2 linked regions of the Pelodiscus sinensis genome follow. The protein of the gene in region 2 binds, or shares a complex with, the protein of the main gene of each other region. Links are inferred from orthologs where the notes say so. Each region holds a gene or a part of one and is shown on either strand. Other genes may lie near its edges.

Region 1 (10,474 bases), on a different chromosome or scaffold from region 2:
CGGCGTCCCAGGAGACCAGCCCTGAGGCCTGCTCAGTGCCTGGCGTTCCCACCGCTGGTGAATACAAGGGGCCCTATTGCAGCTGGGGCGTCACCCCCTCCCTTGCAGTGGTGCACAGGGGTGTCCCCAGCCCGCGATGCCTGTGGGCAGAGCAGGGGGCAGCGGGGTCCCTGGGGCTCAGCCCTGGAAGTCAACAGGAGCTCGGTGCCGTTGGGAGCTGGACCTAGCCCCAGGCCCGCAGGAGTTTCCCCCTTGGGCTCCGGATGGAGCTATGCCCTGGCCGGGGCCACCGCGCCTGCAGGGGGGCTGGGGCCGGTGTGGCTCGTGCTCACCTGGAGGAGCAGGAGGTCGTCGTCGTTGGTCTCCTTGCTGCTGCCGGGGTGGCTGATCTCGGCCCGCACCCCGTAGAGGCGCTTGTGCGGCTCCGGCTCCGAGAGGGAGTGGGCCCCCAAGAGGACCTGGAACGGCTTGTTGGGCCTGCGGCGGGGACGGAGACGGCCGAATGAGGCGCTCTGCTCGCCCCCCGCCTGTCCGCTCATGCCCCCGAGGTGCCGCGATCCCCCGCGGGCCCCCAGCCTCTGCCTTGCCCCGGTCCCCACCTGGGCTGCCCTGCCCCTGGGGTGACGGGCAATCCACCCTCAGCTTTTCCTTTAGAGCCGGGGGCGGAGGGGGGGGGGCCTTTGGCCCAGGAGCCAGATTCAGCGCCTGGCTTGCCTGGATCTGGCCCCCGAGGCTCCCAGCTTTGGGAGCCCTTAGTACCCCCTGTGGAGCTGGAGCGCCAGCTTTGGCTCCCTGCTGCAGTGAGGCAGGGGACCCGAGCCTCAGACTGGAGTCTGGCGAGCCAGAGCCAGATCCCACCCACGGGCTCTGCCCGGTGGGGGGGGGGAGCAACCCCCTCCCCTTCCTCCTGCCCCTGCCTGGGGAAATGGCAGCGCGGCCCGAGGCTTTTCCGACTGGCCTGTGTCCTCCCACCCTCTCGGACCCCAGGCCCAAGCTGGCTTCCCAGCAGCCTCCTCCCACCCCCCGCCCCCGCCTCATGGGGACACTCAACCTGCCCCAGGGCAGGAAGCAGCCGTGGCCACGCTCAGTCCAGAGCCCGGAAATGCTCCAGGGCTGTGTCGGACCTAGCTGGGCCCCAGCCCCTGCTCTGCCCCACGGGGCCCCGGCCAGGACTCACTTGTCCTCCAGGCAGTGAGCCGCGCTCAGCACCCACTGGTCGGCGATGAGGAACCCGCCGCACACGTGCTTCCCGTCCACCTGCAGCGACGCCATGTAGGGCTTCCGGTGCGGGGCAGCCTCGTAGCCCCGGAGAATGCGGCCCCGGGGGCGACCCGCTGGGGAGAGGAGAAAAGGGACATGAGCCTCTGAGCCTGCCCTGCCGTCCTGGCCGTGGGAGGGCCCCCTTGGTGCCCACAGAGTCTGGGGACACATCCAGAGCGGGGCGGCTCAGCGAGGGGCCCTTGGCCCCGTGTGCCTGCGTCTCTACGTGCCTCCGCTGCCGGGGAGGAGAAACTGCCCCAGCCTGGCTCACCGCAGAGCGGCCAGCTGCCCAGGGCACTCCGCCGGGCTGGGAGAGACCCACCTCGGCCGGATTCAGGACCCCACCCTGGTCTCCCATGTCCCAGCGACCGTCTCCCCCAGACTGGCTGACCCACTGATGCGGGGTGAGATGCAGGGACTTGACCAAGGTCACAAGGGAAGGCGGTGGCGAGACAGGGACGCCCAAGTCCTCGCTCGCCCCCCAAGCACTGCGCCGACCTTTCCCTCCTTCTGTAGCTCTGAGCAGAAGGGAAGCGGAGTCCAGAGCCGGTTTGATATTGGCAGCGCGGCTCTGGCGTTCCCAGCCGCTAGGCCCGGCCTGGCTGCCATCGGAGCACTCAGTGTGGGAGGGTCACGCCTCTGTCCCTCGCTTCCTCCAGAGGAGCAATTCTTGGGCCATTGAGAATCCAGCCCAGGCTTCCTCCAGCCTTCTGCCCCCTTCCCATGCCTTGCCCCCCCCCCCCCGTCACCCCCACCCAGGGGGCAGGGCAGCAGGCCTTGTGCGGCCGCACGTCCCCAGGCCAGCAGCCGCGGAGCAGAACTTTAGCTGTCCAGCGAGGAGCTTCCTACAGGAGCCAACACATGCAGCTGGCACTGGGGCCCTGGAGGGCCGGGCTATGGGGCATCGCAGCCCTCCATCAGCACTGCTGTTATGGTCCTGCCGCCCCCAGAATCAGCCAAGACAGCAACCCCTCCACCCCCCCTTACAAGGGCATGATTGCAAGGGAGGGGTGCAAGGGGGAACCGTGGGGCAGCATCTGTCTCTGCCCCCCTCCACCTGGCATTTTCAAACCAAGGAGTGGAGCCATTCACCCCGCTTATGCAAATAATGAGGGGCAGTCACAAATCATTTCTCTTGGCCCCCCGGAGCAGCTGTCCGGTAGCCGACGTGGAGCTCTGGTTGGACTAGCGTGTGTTTGTTTCCTGGAGCATCGGAGGGGACAAACCCCTGTGCCCCCTTCAGGAACGTGAAGAAGAAACGAGAAAGGAAGCCCCGGGTACGAAATGCGAGACGTTTCCAGGTGTGCGGGGTGAAGACTTCTCCGAAGGTTCTGCGGCAATGGATCGCCGACGTGCCCGGGAGAACAGCAGGAGGCCTTAGCCCATAGTCAGGAATCCGCCCTGGGACAGATCTACAGCTGATTCGGATACGTGACCCCTAGGAAAAGCTGGGTAATGCCCCCAGCTCCCTCCAACCCATCTTAGCCTCATTGGGGTAGATCTCACCCAGCAACAGTGACCAGGGTGTCTGCATCAAAGGAGAGGCTGTAGTGCCTGCTGGGACTCAGGAGACCTGAATTCTGCCACCAATCTGCTGGGTGACCTTGGGCAAGTCACGTCCCCGCTCCATGCCTCAGTTTCCCCATTTGTAAAATGGTGATCCTGCCTCTTTCCGTTGGAAAGCATTTTGAGATCCACCGATAAAACGCGCGAGGGGTTAGGACCAGCATCCGCCCACACATGCCCCAGGATGCTCTTTGGCTTCTAGGGAGTCAAGTTGCATTTCAGAAAACACACCCACAGTGGGGAAAGCTAGTGGGTTCCAGACCCGGATGTTTCTGTTATCGGTGCCAGCCCCCATCGCTCTGCAAATGGACAGCACATTTAACCCGCCTGTCCACACACCAGCCCTCTGGCGGCTTTGCCGCAGCAAAACATTTCTCCCTCCGTTCACCCGCATTGTCTCAAGCTGCCTCCCCTCCCCACCTGGCGGAGGGTCTCTGGTCTGTGCTAAGTCCAGAGATCCCTTCCGGCCTGGAAAAGGAGCCCTGCCACTGGGAGATGTGTCCTGAGACGCCGCCTTAGCCCATGGCTTTGGGAGCCAGAGACTGAAGAAGCTGCGTTGCCGGTAAGTTTGGGGCATCAGGCGTCTGTGACATTGATTCACAGTGTGAGCTAGATCCAAGCTTTCTGCAGCCCCAGGCCTCAGTTTCCCTGTCATGTGGGCGTGCTGGGAGAGTGCTCAGAGATCCCCAGCCGGCAGGGGCTAGGCTAGAGAGCAGTGAAATGTACTAGATCCCCCAGGGCCGTCAGCTGATGCGATAAAGTTCAATTGTCACCCTTCAATGTGGCAAGGAAACATCTGGACACCCAGCAGCTTTGCTTATTGTGTCAGTTCGCAGCCAGGCTGCCCTGCGGCATCCACCTCGCAAGGACCCACCCGCATCTCTGCTAGGCTCGGAGGAGTCAAGGAAGAGAACAGAAGAGAGGGAGGGTGTGAGAGAAGAGGCGCACTCACCACAGGCCGAGATGCCCAGCAAAGCCACCAGGGCGAGGACAGGTGACAGGTGACCCATGCCAGCTGCTGAGACGCCCACAGATGAGTCTACCACAGGAGCTGTGTCTTGTCCTGTAGAGGTGTCCCTGCTTGGGGAGAGCAGAGATCTGCCTTTTGTACTGCGCTCCGGGGGTGGGGGGAGAAGGGGGAACGTTGATTTCCAGGAAAGAGAAAGCTGGGAGTAAATTTGCAACAGCTGCTGGGGGCTTGGTTGTTGCAGTGCCAGGGCCTGAGGGAAATTTCATGATTTCTCAACACAGGCAGCCCTGGGACAAAGCAGCCCAACCCTACTGCTGAACCTGGCCTGCCTGGAAGGGGATTTCTGCAGCTTGTGTTTGTCCTTCCAACTGCCGGGGCAGGCAGAGTTCATTCCCCAGCCCATCCGATCGGCTCTGAAGAGCAAACAATCCAGAAATCCCCTTCCCTGCCCGCCTCTGTCTCTGCCGAACTGCGGGGACCTTTGTGTGAACTTCCTGCTCCGCAAAGCTTCCGCCAGGATAGGATAACAGGCGATGGGGCACCTGTGCTGGAGGGAGCCAGGACCTGGGTCTCCAGAGTGGCAGGTTTTTTGCCCCTGCTGAATTCCGGGCTGGCTGATTGCCCAGCTCTGGGAACCGCGGACGTGGGAGCCGAAGGTGCCTGTGGCTAGTAGGATAAGAGCAGTGGCCAAGGGACTCTGACAATCACCTGGAAAGGAGCTGGCCAGAAAGCAAGGCTGGGGCAGGGTGAAAGGGAGAAAGTAGCAGTGGGAGAGCGTGAGAGACGGGCAAGGCAGGGAGGCCCCTGTTCTAGGGAGTTAAATATCAGTTAATTGATTAGTCGATTGACCTCATGAATTCTTATCAGTTACTCAACTAGTCTATAGCCCCCAGGCGGGGCCGGCAGCAGTGCGGGGTGATGGCAGCCCCTGTCCAGGGGGGCTGATCTCCTAGACCCGGCGAGAGCTGCAACAGAGCCGGGCTGCCTACCCGCCTTGCTCCTTAATACCCTTTAAACACAGAGCCGCAGCAGGGCTCTGTCCCAGACCCGGCATGAGCCAGGACTGAGCCGGGCTGCTGGCCAGCCAGCTAAAAAATTGGTTAAGTGACTCCCCGTCTCACTGGAGATGAGCCGCATCCCCTGTGACTTCCCTGGCACTGATGAGGAGCTCCCCGCGCCATAGCCATTTGGTTTCTATTTTTCTGCGGCAGAGATTTCTAGCTACGAACGCTCAGGCCCCAAAGCCCTAAGAAGCTGGCTAGTCTTCCAAGTGCCACTGGACTCCGTGTTTTTGCTGCAACAGACTCACATGGCCACCTCTGAAACCTGGCAAAGAAATGGGGCTGGAGGGGGTTGAACCTGGTTGGGTCTTATTCTCCTGCGGTTCTCACCTGTACCACAAGGTGGGGCTGGTGCCTCAGTTTCCATGCCAAGCCTGGGTCCCCAAAAGTGGGTTTGAACAATGCTTCAGACAGGCACAGTCACTCAGCAGTCGGGGAGAAATCTGGCTCCTCTATTCTGACGGGAGGGTGGCTGGAGCCTCAGAGTTCTGAAATCGCTGGGGCTGCCCCGTAAAGTCCTGTCGCTTAAAGGGCCAAACAGCCCCGGATTTCAGATTTGGCCCAGATGAGCCTGGAGGGAGAGAAACCACCGGCCTGCACCTATTTCAGTGACAAGAAAAGGGAGTCAAACCCAATTCACACAAGCAATGGTTTGTGAAGTACTTGTGAGACAGATACTGAAGCTGGGCTGGCTTCTGCCTCCGCATGGCCACAGCTAAAGCAAACTGGTGCAACCTGCTTGGCACGGGGATGGAAGGTGCTGCCGATATCACACATCCACGGCGCCTCTCGTGAGGATTTCAAAGTGCTTTGCAGAAGAGGGTGAGTGTTATTCTTATTGCCTTTTTTACAGAGGGGTAAACTGAGGCAGGGAGTGGGGAATGAAGTACCTCGCCCAGCCTCACAGCAGGGGACAGGAAGAGAACTTAGGAGCAGGCCAGAACCCTATCTTCCCACTGTGCTGCTTCCTATGAAAAGTTTGGCAAAGTTTTCTATGCTGCCCGACACCTCGGTGGCTAGGTTAGAAGTTAGAACAACAAATAGAGTATCAGGTGTGGCCCTGCCCTCAGCGCTAATTAGCCAACCCCCCCTCTAGCCAGAGGCTTAGACATCTGAGTAAATAAGAAATCCGAGATTTAATAGCGAGTTTAGTTCCGCGGCTCCTGAATTGTGAATTTAGGTCAAGGACTGAGGCTGGTCTTCATGGGAGACAAACCTGAGCCTGCTGCTCACACCAGACCATCACCCTTTGTAGATTTCGGGAGGGAAATTCCATGCAAGTTTTTGACACGGGTTTGTCAGGGAGCCGAGTTAGTCTGTAACTGGAAAAATGTAACAAACAACCAATGGTCTGGTAGCACGTTATAGACGAACAAAACATGGAGCTGGGAGCATGAGCTTTCGTGGGCACAGCCCACTTCTTCGGATGACTGGAATATTGAAAGTCCAGATCCAGGAATAAATAAGGGAAGGGGGGAGAGGAGGAAGAAAAAAGACAGTTAAGCTACAAGAGGCGATGAGGACAATTAGCACCTCCATTGCATGGTGGGTGGTTTGGTGAAGTCATTAGGGTGTGGAAGGTCTGTGCTGGCCTTGTCCCTGATCATTCCAATCTGATAAGAGTCAAATTTGTAAACAAAGTTAAGTTCCAACCCTCCCCTGTGGATTTGGCTTGTGGAATTGGCTTGCAAGAACAGGGTGACTTGGGGATCCGTTAACGAGTGTCCAGGCGGATTAAAGTGTTCTCCAACAGGTCCCTGCGTGTGGCCACATTTGCTGCTCCCCCCCCCCCCCCCCCGCCGTGTGTGCCTACTGGTCCCGTGGGAAAGGGAGGGGGTGTACAGAGCTCCGGGACACTGGCAAAAGCCTCTGCCCTGCTCTGGTGTGGATCTGTGGGAGAGGGGTTCGGAGGAGGCTGGGGCGGGGGCGGCCTGGCCTTTGCTCATTGGTGGGTGTGCAGCTCGGGAGAAAATCCACTCAAGTGGATTGCGGTGGGAGTCCTGGCTCCCGCCTGCTCTGTGCACTGACGTCCCTATAAAAGAGTAGAAAGGTTCGGGGCCAGAGCCTGGTGGGGCACAGTATCTGTGGAGCCATGGGATCTGGCTTCCTGGGGATTGCCCCTCCCCAGCACAGACCTTCTGGGGGCCTAGCCCCCTGCACCTCCATGATTCTCTTTGTCGCTCCCCCCCAGCATAGGGGGAGTTCCCAGGAGAAAGGGGGCCAATCCCCACGCTGCCAGAATAGGCCAGGAATGTAAGCTCTGGGCTCCCCCTGATGGGGTGGGGAACCTCAGGCCCAGGGGCCCAATGGCAGCCCCTGGCATGCTGGATCTGGCCCCCGAGGCTCATGGAGCCCCCCTCAGCATTGGGGAGCCTGTGCTGATGCTCCAGTCCCCCCATTGAGGGGCCAAACTCGACTAGCCCCCCCCTGCTCTGGTGTGGGGGGGGAACACGGGGAGGGTTTTTCTCCTTCTCAGCCACATCCGTGAGGGGTTGGGTTTGTTTTTTGCTTCTCATACGTGTGCAGCCCCCGACCCACAAATGGCTCCCCCCACCCATGCTGGCAGTAGCCAGGCAGGCCCCAGAACCAGGGAGCTCAAAGCTGGCTTAGCGCCTCCTTCACCCACCCTGCTGGGCTGACAAGAGACCGGGGCTGGGCTCGGATTAGCGTGGAGGAGCTGGGCCTGACTGTTCACTGTCCTAGCCTGGGGCTCCCCCCACAAATGCCCCTCCACATCCCCATCCCCATCCCCACCCCGCTGCCTGGTCCTGGGAATTCCCCTCGGCTCTGAGTCAGAGCAGTTTATGTAAAGGACAAACCCGCCCCCCCATCAACAAAGCTGAGGGGGGAGTGTCGGTTTGTTCCTCCCAGGGGTGGAGGTGATGGCTGCCTTGCCTGGCGGAGAGGGGGGGGGGGAAGGAGGGAGGCTTACGCTGTGGGTGGAGGCTGTGAGGCCAAGGCTGGATCAAGGGAAAGCTCTTAACGATAATTAATCCCGGCTCCTCTCAGCTGTAGATCTCAATGCACTTTACAAGGAGGCTAATATCATTAGCCCCGTGTTCCAGGTGGGGAAACTGAGGCATGGGGCAGAGCAGTGACTTGCCTGGGGGCTGCAAACAGGAATTTACTTGGCAGCTTAATTCCACAAACGGGAGACCTAACGCAAGGGGTGGGCAACCTGTGTCCCGCGAGCCACGGGGGCTACGCCCTTCCCTACAAGACTAGCTCTCATTGGCATAGTTGTGTGTCTGTACAGCCCCTTGCACAATGGCTCTGAGCCGCAACTGGGACTCACCAGTGCTGGAGGAGTCGGGCCTCCTCTCCCCCAGCCCCCAGGCCGTGTAACAAACCCAGTTCTAGTTTGAAAGCCCACGGAAGCCAAACAGAGCCAGCTCAGCCTCCACGCCACGGTAACCTGCCCCCACCAGCCCGTAGCCGGTCACCGAGCGCGGCACATCCCGCTCTTGGCCAGCTACCGGAACAACCGGCGTTTCCAAATCGCACCATACTCAGAGCGGGCGAGAAGGTAGCTCACTTGAAGTTGCAGTGGGGGAGGTCTCGGTTGGGGATCAGGAAAAACCATTGCCCTGGGCGGGTTCCCTGGGGAGTCTCCGTCCCTTGAAGTGTGTCAGTCCCAGCTTGACACAGCCCCGGCTGGGGTGATCGAGGTGGGGCTGGTCCTGCTTTGGGCAGGGGCCGGACGTGATGGCTTCTGAGGGCTCAGCCCACCCCAGGGTTCTAGGATTCTAGGTAGCAGGTGCTGTACCTGTAGGCAAGCCCTCAGTCTTTGCCTAGGGGTGTCTGGAGCCTTAGGATGCGTCTCTAGTTCTCCCTGCCCCTCCACCCACCCTGCCTTGGCCCCGATACCGGCTCCATGTCCTTCCCCCTCTAGGTTCTGCTCCTGAGCGCCACAGGCAAGCAAATCATCTCCTGTTGGCGCAGGGGTGCCCGGCGCAGGGTTTGGGATCATTCTTCCTCTCACCATTGCACCGGGGGTCAGTCCTCAGCTGATGCTGAACGAAACCAGAGACGAGCCTCTAGCTTCCGGCCCCATGGACCTGCTGCTCTGGCTTCTCGCTGGCTTTGCCCCATCCGGCGCGTGTACTCCCCTTCCACTCACAGGGCTGAGCATGTGCGAGAAGGGCGGGGGAGGGGGGGCGTACAGGACAAGGAAAGGGTGATGCGAGATACCAGCATCCTGGGAAGAGCTCTAGTGGCCCCATGGAGTTACACCCGGGATTATCTTGCCTGTGTGTGCCCAGACGCACTCCGGCTGCGTGCGAGCCATGTGGGCGTGGCTGTGCAGGGTATACGGATGTGCGGGCTTTGGGCATGATGCAACCATGTGCAGGAAGTTGCAGGATTATGGGCAGGGGAGGCAAAGAAACTGCCCACGGAGTGCAGGGGCGGGTACCTTTGTGGGGATCTTAGGGGGCCAGCACAGAACCCTAGAACTGGAAGGGACCTCGGGAGTCATCAAGCCCCCTCCCCTGCCCTCACGGCAGGACCCAGCACCGTCTAGATCTTCCCCAAGAGGCGTCTGTCCAACCTGCGCTTAAATATCTCCAGAGATAGAGATTCCACAACCTCCCTGGGCAATTTATTCCTGTGTTTCGCCACCCGACCGGTGGGAAGTTTTTCCTAATGTCCAACCTCAACCCCCCTGGCTGCAGTTTAAGCCCCTTGCTTCTCGTCCTGTCCTCAGAGGCCAAGGGGAACAATTTCCCCGTCCTCCTTATGACACCCTTTTAGACACTTGAAAACTGCTCTCGTGTCCCCCCTCAGTCTTCTCTTTTCTAAACTAAACAAGCCCAGTTCCTCCAGCCTTGCCGCAGCTCATGTGCTCTAGACCTTGCATCATTCTCGTTGCTCTTCTCTGGACCCTCTCCAATTTCTCCACATCTTGAAATGTGGTGCCCAGACCTGGACACAAGACTCCAGCTGAGGCCTAACCAGCGCAGAGCATCGCGGAAGAATGACGCCTCGTGTCTGGCTCACAGCTCTGCTGTTCGTGCAGCCCAGAATCATGTTGGTTGTTTTTGTGACGCGTCCCACTGTTGACTCGTAATGAGCTTGTGGTCCACTCTGACCCCTCCATCCCTTCCTGCAGGACTCCTCCCGAGACAGTCGCTTCCCGTTCTGTGAGTGACAGGCCAGCCCCTGTGGGCTGGAAGGCTGAGCTCGGAGCAGGGTTCGGCTCCGGCACACACATCCCCATGGGCAGGCACCCCAGCAGTCCCTAGAACCTGGGCTTCTGCAGCTGAGTCCTGGCAAGGGGAAGTCACAATATGGGGCCTGCGATTTACCAGAGAAAAGTCAGGGCCAGGCCTCCCACCCCTGCACCCCTGAGCTCTGAGCTCATCTGGATCCAGCCCCTGCCCCGTCCTCGAAGGCCAGCCCTCAGGCTGGTCCCCTGGAGCCGTGGTAAGGAAGAGGGGCTGGACTGGAGCAGCATCAGCCTCCGGGCCTGGCTGCCCCACAGCATCTGCCAGGGAACAGGCCCTAGGAAAGCTGCAGCTTTGCCCGCCCAGCGTGGGAGCCAGGATTCGAGCAGGCTCAGGCAGCCGCTGTGTTGCTAGGTAACCGGGCCAGAGGATTTTGCGATGCCAGTCACGCA
Region 2 (10,068 bases):
CACAGCCCCCCCGTGTTGACCCCCGCTTCCTGGAGCCCCCCACGGCTCCCCCCCCGGTGCCCACCCCCGCTTCCTGGAGCCCCCCACAGCTCCCCCCCCGGTGCCCATCCCCGCTTCCCGGAGCCCCCCACGGCTCCCCCCGGTGCCCACCCCCCGCTTCCCGGAGCCCCCCACGGCTCCCCCCCGGTGCCCACCCCCGCTTCCTGGAGCCCCCCACAGCCCCCCCGTGTTGACCCCCGCTTCCTGGAGCCCCCCACGGCTCCCCCCCCGGTGCCCACCCCCGCTTCCTGGAGCCCCCCACAGCTCCCCCCCCGGTGCCCATCCCCGCTTCCCGGAGCCCCCCACGGCTCCCCCCGGTGCCCACCCCCCGCTTCCCGGAGCCCCCCACGGCTCCCCCCCCGGTGCCCACCCCCGCTTCCTGGAGCCCCCCCACGGCTCCCCCCCCGGTGCCCACCCCCGCTTCCTGGAGCCCCCCACGGCTCCCCCCGGTGCCCACCCCCGCTTCCTGGAGCCCCCCCACGGCTCCCCCCCCGGTGCCCACCCCGCGCTTCCCGGAGCCCCCCACGGCTCCCCCCCCGGTGCCCACCCCGCGCTTCCTGGAGCCCCCCCCACGACCCCCCCCCGGTGCCCCACCCCGCGCTTCCTGGAGCCCCCCACGGTTCCCCCCCCGTGCCCACCCCACGCTTCCTGGAGCCCCCCCACGGTTCCTCCCGGTGCCCACCCCGCGCTTCCTGGAGCCCCCCACAGCCCCCCCCGTGTTGACCCCGCGCTTCCTGGAGCCCCCCACAGCCCCCCCATGCTGACCCCGCGCTTCCCGGAGCCCCCCATGGCTCCCCCCGGTGCCCACCCCGCACTTCCTGGAGCCCCCCATGAGTCCCCCCCCGTGCCCATCCCGCGCTTCCCAGAGCCCCCCATAGCTCCCCCCCCGTGCCCATCCCGTGCTTCTTGGAGCCCCCCACGTCCCCCCCCGTGCCTACCCAGCGCTTCGCAGACCCCCCCACGGCTCCCCCCGCGCTTCCCGGAGCCCCCCCACGGTCCTCCCATGCTGACCCCGCACTTCCTAGAGCCCCCCTATGCCCAACCTGCAGTTCCCCGGGCCCCCCATGCCCACCCCATGGTCCTCAGAGCCCCCGCACGGTCCCCCACACTCTCCAGAGCCCCCCACGGCCCCCCATGCCTGCCCCACAGTCCTCTGAGCCCCCCATGTTCCACCCTATGACTGCCCCACAGTTCCCAGAACCCCACCCCATGAGTCCCAGAGCCCTCGACACCCGCCCCACAGTTCCCAGAGCCCCCCCCCCCACGGCCCCCCCACACTCTCCAGAGCCCCCCACGGCCCCCCATGCCTGCCCCGCGGTTCCCAGAGCCCCCCCCCCGGGTGTCCCCAGGGCTCGCCCCACGGTTCCCGGACCCCCCCGCCTCCCAGTTTTCACCCCCACTAGAGCCCCCCAGACAACACCCGACCTCCAGCCCGGCCCCCCGCGCCCCGACCCACCTCTGCACTCGGCCTTGGCCAGCGGGCGCCCGTCCCGAGAGCTCAGCGGGCTCCAGCGGCTGTCGGCGCGGCACAGGCGCACGGGCGTGGGGTACGGGTACTGCCCCGCGGGGCACTGGTACACCAGCGCCCCCCCCTGCCGCTGCAGCTTGCTCGAGCCCCCCACGATCGCCGCCGCCTGGGGGTCGCAGTTCGGGCCCTTGCTGGGGGCCGCGCCTGGGGAGAGTCACAGAGTCGGGCGGCGCCACGACCCCCCGAAAGGCCCCCGGAGCGCAGACATCAGCGGGGGGGGGCCCGAACCCCCCCCCCGGAGCGCAGACATCAGCGGGGGGGCCCCGAAACACCCCCCGGAGCGCAGACATCAGCGGGGGGGCCCGAAACACCCCCCGAGCGCAGACATCAGCGGGGGGGGCCCGAAACACCCCCCGGAGCGCAGACATCAGCGGGGGGGGCCCGAAACACCCCCCGGAGCGCAGACATCAGCGGGGGGGCCCGAAACACCCCCCGAGCGCAGACATCAGCGGGGGGGGGCCCGAAACACCCCCCGGAGCGCAGACATCAGCGGGGGGGCCCGAAACACCCCCCGGAGCGCAGACATCAGCGGGGGGGGCCCCGAAACCCCCCCGGAGCGCAGACATCAGCGGGGGGCCCCGAAACACCCCCCGGAGCGCAGACATCAGCGGGGGGGGCCCGAAACACCCCCCCCCGAGCGCAGACATCAGCGGGGGGCCCCGAAACACCCCCCGGAGCGCAGACATCAGCGGGGGGGGCCCGAAACACCCCCCCCCCGAGCGCAGACATCAGCGGGGGGCCCCGAAACACCCCCCGGAGCGCAGACATCAGCGGGGGGGGCCCGAAACACCCCCCCGAGCGCAGACATCAGCGGGGGGGCCCGAAACACCCCCCGAGCGCAGACATCAGCGGGGGGGGGCCTGAAACACCCCCCGGAGCGCAGACATCAGCGGGGGGGGCCCGAAACACCCCCCGAGCGCAGACATCAGCGGGGGGGGGGCCCGAAACACCCCCCGAGCGCAGACATCAGCGGGGGGGGGCCCGAAACCCCCCCCCGGAGCGCAGACATCAGCGGGGGGGGGCCCGAAACACCCCCCGAGCGCAGACATCAGCGGGGGGGGCCCGAAACACCCCCCGGAGCGCAGACATCAGCGGGGGGGGCCCGAAACACCCCCCGAGCGCAGACATCAGCGGGGGGGGCCCGAAACCCCCCCCGAGCGCAGACATCAGCGGGGGGGGCCCCGAAACACCCCCCGGAGCGCAGACATCAGCGGGGGGGGCCCGAAACCCCCCCCGAGCGCAGACATCAGCGGGGGGGGGCCCCGAAACCCCCCCCGAGCGCAGACATCAGCGGGGGGGCCCGAAACACCCCCCGAGCGCAGACATCAGCGGGGGGGGCCCCGAAACACCCCCCGGAGCGCAGACATCAGCGGGGGGGGGCCCGAAACACCCCCCGGAGCGCAGACATCAGCGGGGGGCCTCGAAACACCCCCCGGAGCGCAGACATCAGCGGGGGGGCCCGAAACACCCCCCGGAGCGCAGACATCAGCGGGGGGCCCCGAAACACCCCCCGGAGCGCAGACATCAGCGGGGGGGGCCCGAAACACCCCCCGGAGCGCAGACATCAGCGGGGGGGCCCCGAAACACCCCCCGAGCGCAGACATCAGCGGGGGGGGGCCCGAAACACCCCCCGAGCGCAGACATCAGCGGGGGGCCCCGAAACACCCCCCGAGCGCAGACATCAGCGGGGGGGGCCCGAAACACCCCCCCCCGAGCGCAGACATCAGCGGGGGGCCCCGAAACACCCCCCGAGCGCAGACATCAGCGGGGGGGGGCCCGAAACACCCCCCGAGCGCAGACATCAGCGGGGGGGGGCCTGAAACACCCCCCGAGCGCAGACATCAGCGGGGGGGGGCCCGAAACACCCCCCGAGCGCAGACATCAGCGGGGGGGGCCCGAAACACCCCCCGAGCGCAGACATCAGCGGGGGGGGGGCCCGAAACACCCCCCGAGCGCAGACATCAGCGGGGGGCCCCGAAACACCCCCCGAGCGCAGACATCAGCGGGGGGGGGCCTGAAACACCCCCCGGAGCGCAGACATCAGCGGGGGGGGGCCCGAAACACCCCCCGGAGCGCAGACATCAGCGGGGGGGGCCCGAAACACCCCCCGAGCGCAGACATCAGCGGGGGGGGCCCGAAACACCCCCCGGAGCGCAGACATCAGCGGGGGGGGCCCGAAACACCCCCCGGAGCGCAGACATCAGCGGGGGGGGCCCGAAACACCCCCCCGGAGCGCAGACATCAGCGGGGGGGGGCCCGAAACACCCCCCGAGCGCAGACATCAGCGGGGGGCCCCGAAACACCCCCCGAGCGCAGACATCAGCGGGGGGGGGCCTGAAACACCCCCCGGAGCGCAGACATCAGCGGGGGGGGGCCCGAAACACCCCCCGGAGCGCAGACATCAGCGGGGGGGCCCGAAACACCCCCCGAGCGCAGACATCAGCGGGGGGGGGCCCGAAACACCCCCCGAGCGCAGACATCAGCGGGGGGGGGGCCCGAAACACCCCCCGGAGCGCAGACATCAGCGGGGGGGGGCCCGAAACACCCCCCGAGCGCAGACATCAGCGGGGGGCCCCGAAACACCCCCCGAGCGCAGACATCAGCGGGGGGGCCCGAAACACCCCCCGGAGCGCAGACATCAGCGGGGGGGGCCCCGAAACACCCCCCGGAGCGCAGACATCAGCGGGGGGGGCCCCGAAATCCCCCCGGAGCGCAGACATCAGCGGGGGGGCCCGAAACACCCCCCGGAGCGCAGACATCAGCGGGGGGGGCCCCGAAACACCCCCCGGAGCGCAGACATCAGCGGGGGGGCCCGAAACACCCCCCGGAGCGCAGACATCAGCGGGGGGGCCCCGAAACCCCCCCCCGGAGCGCAGACATCAGCGGGGGGGGCCCGAAACACCCCCCCGCCCGGCCATCGGGGTGGGCCCCCCGATATACACTCCAGGGCCCCCAATTCTGTAGGACCCCCCCCCAAGGAGGCCCCCCCCCCGTCTGCCCGATGCCGAGGGGGGCTGCGGGGGCCCGAGGAGCCGGGCGAGGTCGGGGCGCGGGGGAGGCGAGTTGGGGGGGGCCGGGGGGGGCTGGGGGGCCGGGACCCACCGAGGCGCAGCGGCGCCAGCAGCAGGCAGGCGAGTAGCGGGGCTGCGGGTCCCATCGCGTCCGTCCGGGGCTGCGCGGAGCCGGGTCTGGCAGGTGGGGGGGGGGCCTGGCTCCCTCCCTTGCGAAACCTGCTCCGCCTGGCCCCGCGTCCGGGAACTGCCGGGGGGGGGGCGGGGCATTCCCGGGCGGGGGCGGGGGGCAGATGCGGGGGCAGGGCCCCTCCCCCGCCCACCAGGGCAGGTGACTTTTGGGAAATGGGCAGAAACCCCCCCTCCCCCCCCCCCGCCCTAAACAAACTTCCTCCTGGCGCCCCCCCCCCCGCCAAACCGCAGGGGGGGGCGCCCGGGGCCTTGCCCAACAGCTGGCAGCTTCTGTCCCGTGACAGGGTGGGGCGCCCGGCTCTCACCACTCAGCCCCACTGCCCCCCCCGGGGAGGGGACCCAGGCTCCCGGCTCTCACCACTCAGCCCCACTGCCCCCCCCGGGGAGGGGACCCAGGCTCCCTGCTCTCACCACTCAGCCCCACTGCCCCCCCCCCGGGGAGGGGACCCAGGCTCCCTGCTCTCACCACTCAGCCCCACTGCCCCCCCCCCGGGGAGGAGACCCAGGCTCCCTGCTCTCACCACTCAGCCCCACTGCCCCCCCCCGGGGAGGAGACCCAGGCTCCCTGCTCTCACCACTCAGCCCCACTGCCCCCCCCCGGGAGGAGACCCAGGCTCCCCGCTCTCACCACTTAGCCCCACTGCCCCCCCCCGGGAGGAGACCCAGGCTCCCCGCTCTCACCACTCAGCCCCACTGCCCCCCCCCGGGGAGGGGACCCAGGCTCCCTGCTCTCACCACTCAGCCCTACTGCCCCCCCCCCGGGGAGGGGACCCAGGCGCCCGGCTCTCACCACTCAGCCCCACTGCCCCCCCCCCCGGGGAGGGGACCCAGGCGCCCGGCTCTCACCACTCAGCCCCACTGCCCCCCCCCGGGGAGGGGACCCAGGCTCCCTGCTCTCACCACTCAGCCCCACTGCCCCCCCCGGGGAGGGGACCCAGGCTCCCCGCTCTCACCACTCAGCCCCACTGCCCCCAGCCCCGGGGAGGGGACCCAGGCTCCCCGCTCTCACCACTCAGCCCCACTGCCCCCAGCCCCGGGGAGGGGACCCAGGCTCCCCGCTCTCACCACTCAGCCCCACTGCCCCCAGCCCCGGGGAGGGGACCCAGGCTCCCTGCTCTCACCACTCAGCCCCACTGCCCCCCCCGGGGAGGGGACCCAGGCTCCCTGCTCTCACCACTCAGCCCCACTGCCCCCCCCGGGGAGGGGACCCAGGCTCCCCGCTCTCACCACTCAGCCCCACTGCCCCCCCCCCGGGGAGGGGACCCAGGTGCCCAGCTCTCACCACTGAGCCCCACTGCCCCCCCCCCGGGGAGGGGACCCAGGTGCCCCAGCTCCCGGCCCAAGGCCCAGCCACGCAGCAGGTGGGCAAAGTCCAAGGCCGGTGTTTGTGCAAAGGGGTCACGGCCCCCCACTGCCCTCCCCCTCCGCACCCTGCCCCCAGCCTGGCAGGGAACCCACCGCCCTGCCGGCCTGCCTGGAGAAGGGAAGGAGATAAGAGGGCACTGCCCAGGGGAAGTTCGCAGCGCTGGGCAGGGCAGGCGGAGAGGGTTACAAACCACACAGAGACCCTGAATTACAAACATTCTGTTATTAGGGGGCAGAGCTGTGGGGTAGAGAATGGGGGAGGGGGTGCACGGAGAGGAAATGAAGATGGGGGGCAGAGATTGAGGGGTGCATGGAGGGAATGGGGCTGCCAGGGCTGTGGGGCAGGGATCAGGGGTGCACAGAGGGGACGAGGCAGCCAGGCTGTGGGGCAGGGATCAGGGTGCCCGGAGGAGAGGGGGCTGTGGGGCAGTGATCACGGGTGCCCAGAGGAGAGGACGCTGTGGGGCAAGGATCAGGGGTGCCAGAGAGGAGGGCGCTGTGGGGCAGGGATCGGGGAGCATGGAAGGGGGGGCTGTGGGGCAGAGATGGGGGAGCATGGACGGGGGGGCTGTGGGGCAGGGATCAGGGGTGCACAGAGGGGACGAGGCAGCCAGGCTGTGGGGCAGGGATCAGGGTGCCCGGAGGAGAGGGGGCTGTGGGGCAGTGATCACGGGTGCCCAGAGGAGAGGACGCTGTGGGGCAAGGATCGGGGGTGCCAGAGAGGAGGGCGCTGTGGGGCAGGGATCAGGGGTGCCCAGAGGAGAGGGGGTTGTGGGGCAGGGATCAGGGTGCCTGGAGGGGGGGCTGTGGGGCAGAGATCGGGGAGCATGGACGGGGGGGCTGTGGGGCAGGGATCAGGGGTGCCCAGAGGAGAGGGGGTTGTGGGGCAGGGATCAGGGTGCCTGGAGGGGGGGCTGTGGGGCAGAGATCGGGAAGCATGGACGGGGGGGCTGTGGGGCAGGGATCAGGGGTGCCCAGAGGAGAGGGGGTTGTGGGGCAGGGATCAGGGTGCCCGGAGAGGAGGGCGCTGTGGGGCAGGGATCGGGGTGCCCAGAGGAGAGGGGGTTGTGGGGCAGGGATCGGGGTGCCTGGAGGGGGCACTGTGGGGCAGGGATCGGGGAGCGTGGAAGGGAGGGTTGTGGGGCAGGGATCAGGGTGCCTGGAGGGGGGGCTGTGGGGCAGGGATCAGGGGTGCCAGAGAGGAGGGCGCTGTGGGCAGGGATCGGGGTGCCTGGAGAGGAGGGTGCTGTGGGGCAGGGATTGGGGTGCCCAGAGGAGAGGGCGTTGTGGGGCAGGGATCAGGGTGCCTGGAGGGGGGGCTGTGGGGCAGGGATCGGGGTGCCCAGAGGAGGGCGCTGTGGGGCAGGCGCACAGAGGGGCGGGGGCGGGGCTCTCACTGCCGTGGGCCCAGAGCGCCGTGGGGCTCACTGCAGCGGGACGAAGGCCACGGCGCCCCCCAGCACCTGGCGCAGCCAATCCTGCACCGCGAAGAGGCTGATGTAGAAGTCGCGGGGGACGTGGTGCTTGGGCAGCGGCTTCCTCTGCACCGTGCCCCCCGGCCCCGGCTGGCACGGGCTGGCGGTGCCCCAGCTCACCACGCCCACCTGGGGGGCAGAGACAGCTGGGACCCCACGCCGGGACGGCCCCGCAGCTCGGCCCCCGCAGCCCCCATCTCGCCCCCTAAAGACCTCCCACAACTCGCCCCCCGCAGCCCCCATCTCATCCCCTAAAGACCCCCACAACTCGCCCCCCGCAGCCCCCATCTCATCCCCTAAAGACCCCCCACAACTCGTCCCCCGCAGCCCCCCAATTCGGCCCCCAACACCCTCTCGCAACTTGTCCCCCCAACTCTCCTGCCGCAGCCCCCGCAGCCCCCATCTCATCCCCTAAAGACCCCCCCCAACTCGCCCCCTGCAGGCCCCCAACTTGGCCCCCCACACCCTCCTGCAACTCGGCTGAACTTGTCCACCACAGCCCCCCATCTCGCCCCCTAAAGCCCCCCTGCAATTCGCTCCCCGCAGCCTCCCAACTCCTCCCCTGCAGCCCCCTGCAACTCGTCCCCCCAACTCCTCCCTGGCAGCCCCCTGCAGCTCCCCCTCCCGCAACTCGTCCCCCCGCAACCCCCCACCACAGAGCGTCCCGACTACCAACCTGGAAGTTTCTCAGTTTCTTCTCCAGGAACAGAGCCCCTCCCGATTCACCTGTGGGGCAAAGCAGAACTCAGACCCCCAGGGGCCAGGCCGGCCCAGCTCTGGGGCAGGTGGGGGGAGGGGGGCCAGGTCACCTTTGCAGGTGGACGCCTCCTCCGAGCCGCCGCTGATCTGCCCCGAGCAGAGGAACCGGTCGGTCACCACGTGCGAGACGCTGGAGACGTTGGCGTAGATCATGCCCGGCTGGATGGCTCCGGCGATGCACGAGGGGCGCTGGGGGCGAGAGCCGGGGGTGGGCGGGGGCCGGAACGGGGCGTCCCCCTGCACGGCCACTGGGCTCCCCGGCGGGGGTCAGAGCCCGGGCGGGGGGATAAAAGCCGGTCGCGGGTCCCAGCAGGGACTGGGCCGGGGAGGGAAATCCAACGCCAGGCGCACGGTGCCGCCCCGGGCCCCCGGCCGCTTCCCTGAGCTCGGCCCCCACGAGCGCCCGCAGGCAACAGTGGCAGCAGGCGTGTCGGGGAGCGTGCGAGGGAGACCCTGGGCCGGGCAGCGTGCGAGGGCGACCCTGGGCCGGGCAGCGTGCGAGGGAGACCCTGGGCCGGGCAGCGTGCGAGGGAGACCCTGGGCCGGGCAGTGTGCGAGGGAGACCCTGGGCCGGGGAGCGTGCGAGGGAGACCCTGGGCTGGGCAGCGTGCGAGGGAGACCCTGGGCTGGGCAGCGTGCGAGGGAGACCCTGGGCCGGGGAGCGTGCGAGGGCGACCCTGGGCCGGGGAGCGTGCGAGGGCGACCCTGGGCCGGGCAGCGTGCGAGGGCGACCCTGGGCCGGGCAGCGTGCGAGGGAGACCCTGGGCCGGGGAGCGTGCGAGGGAGACCCTGGGCCAGGAAGCGTGCGAGGGAGATCATGAGCCAGGGAGCGTGCGAGGGAGACCCTGGGCCAGGAAGCGTGCGAGGGAGATCATGAGCCAGGGAGCGTGCGAGGGAGACCCTGGGCCAGGAAGCGTGCGAGGGAGATCATGAGCCAGGGAGCGTGCGAGGGAGACCCTGGACCAGGAAGCGTGCGAGGGAGATCATGAGCCAGGGAGCGTGCGAGGGAGACTCTGAGCCAGGAGCGTGCGAGGGAGACCCTGGACCAGGAAGCGTGCGAGGGAGATCATGAGCCAGGGAGCGTGCGAGGGAGACCCTGGGCCAGGAAGCGTGCGAGGGAGACCCTGGGCCAGGAAGCGTGCGAGGGAGATCATGAGCCAGGGAGCGTGCGAGGGAGACCCTGGACCAGGAAGCGTGCGAGGGAGATCATGAGCCAGGGAGCGTGCGAGGGAGACTCTGAGCCAGGAGCGTGCGAGGGAGACAAGCATGCGGCCCACGTGCACCCCCCGGGGCACGGCCGCCACCTACCAGCTGCTTGGCCTTGATGCGGACGCTGAGGCTGTCCCCGCCCAGGGAGATGAAGTGGGCAGGGACCTGTTCCCGGCCCAGCAGCTCCCGCTCTGCAGGGCAGAGACCCGTCAGCGGGGGGCTCCGGGGGGCCGGGTGACACGAGGGGCGGCGGCTGTCAGAGGTGAGGGGGCACACGCCCCCCCCTCGTGGCCCTGAGCCGTGCCAGGAGGCGGGGGGTCGGGCGTGTGGGACGTGCCGGCCCCTGGCTGGCGGCCCCCTGCCCTGGGAGCCGGGTCTGGGGGCTCTGGGGCCCAGCCCCTCCCCCTGAATCTCTGGTGTGCCCCGGCGCCCCACACACCGTGTTCCCGGCACGTCTTTCTCCTCTTCTCCTTCAGCGCTTGGCTGGCCC

The links. The genes of interacting proteins can lie anywhere in the genome.
Region 1: the proteins of complement factor B-like (region 2) and complement factor D-like are in contact, whole or in part, in a crystal structure (PDB 2XWB), measured with the Homo sapiens proteins. The link is inferred for Pelodiscus sinensis from reciprocal best matches to the Homo sapiens genes CFB and CFD. Residues at the interface, in NP_001701.2 of Homo sapiens: Glu298, Ala301, Ser302, Ala332, Asp333, Ile469, Asp470, Glu471, Ser472, Glu518, Tyr519, Lys585, Asp758, Glu759, Asp760; in NP_001919.2 of Homo sapiens: Asn157, His158, Ala159, Gly160, Arg161, Arg162, Arg182, Thr183, Asp186, Arg200, Val228, Cys229, Gly230, Asn231, Arg232, Lys233.

What each region holds. Positions count from the first base shown.
Region 1 is NC_134729.1:16,201,817-16,212,290, reverse strand, and holds the start of complement factor D-like, read right to left. Parts: upstream 3,939-10,474; 5' UTR 3,837-3,938; coding exon 3,779-3,836; intron 1,335-3,778; coding exon 1,178-1,334; intron 478-1,177; coding exon 333-477; intron 1-332.
Region 2 is NW_027466016.1:47,707-57,774, forward strand, and holds the start of complement factor B-like, read right to left. Parts: upstream 4,831-10,068; 5' UTR 4,725-4,830; coding exon 4,670-4,724; intron 1,712-4,669; coding exon 1,496-1,711; intron 1-1,495. Other genes in the region: complement C2-like, read right to left, coding at 7,560-7,739, 8,287-8,336, 8,420-8,558, 9,678-9,769, 10,018-10,068.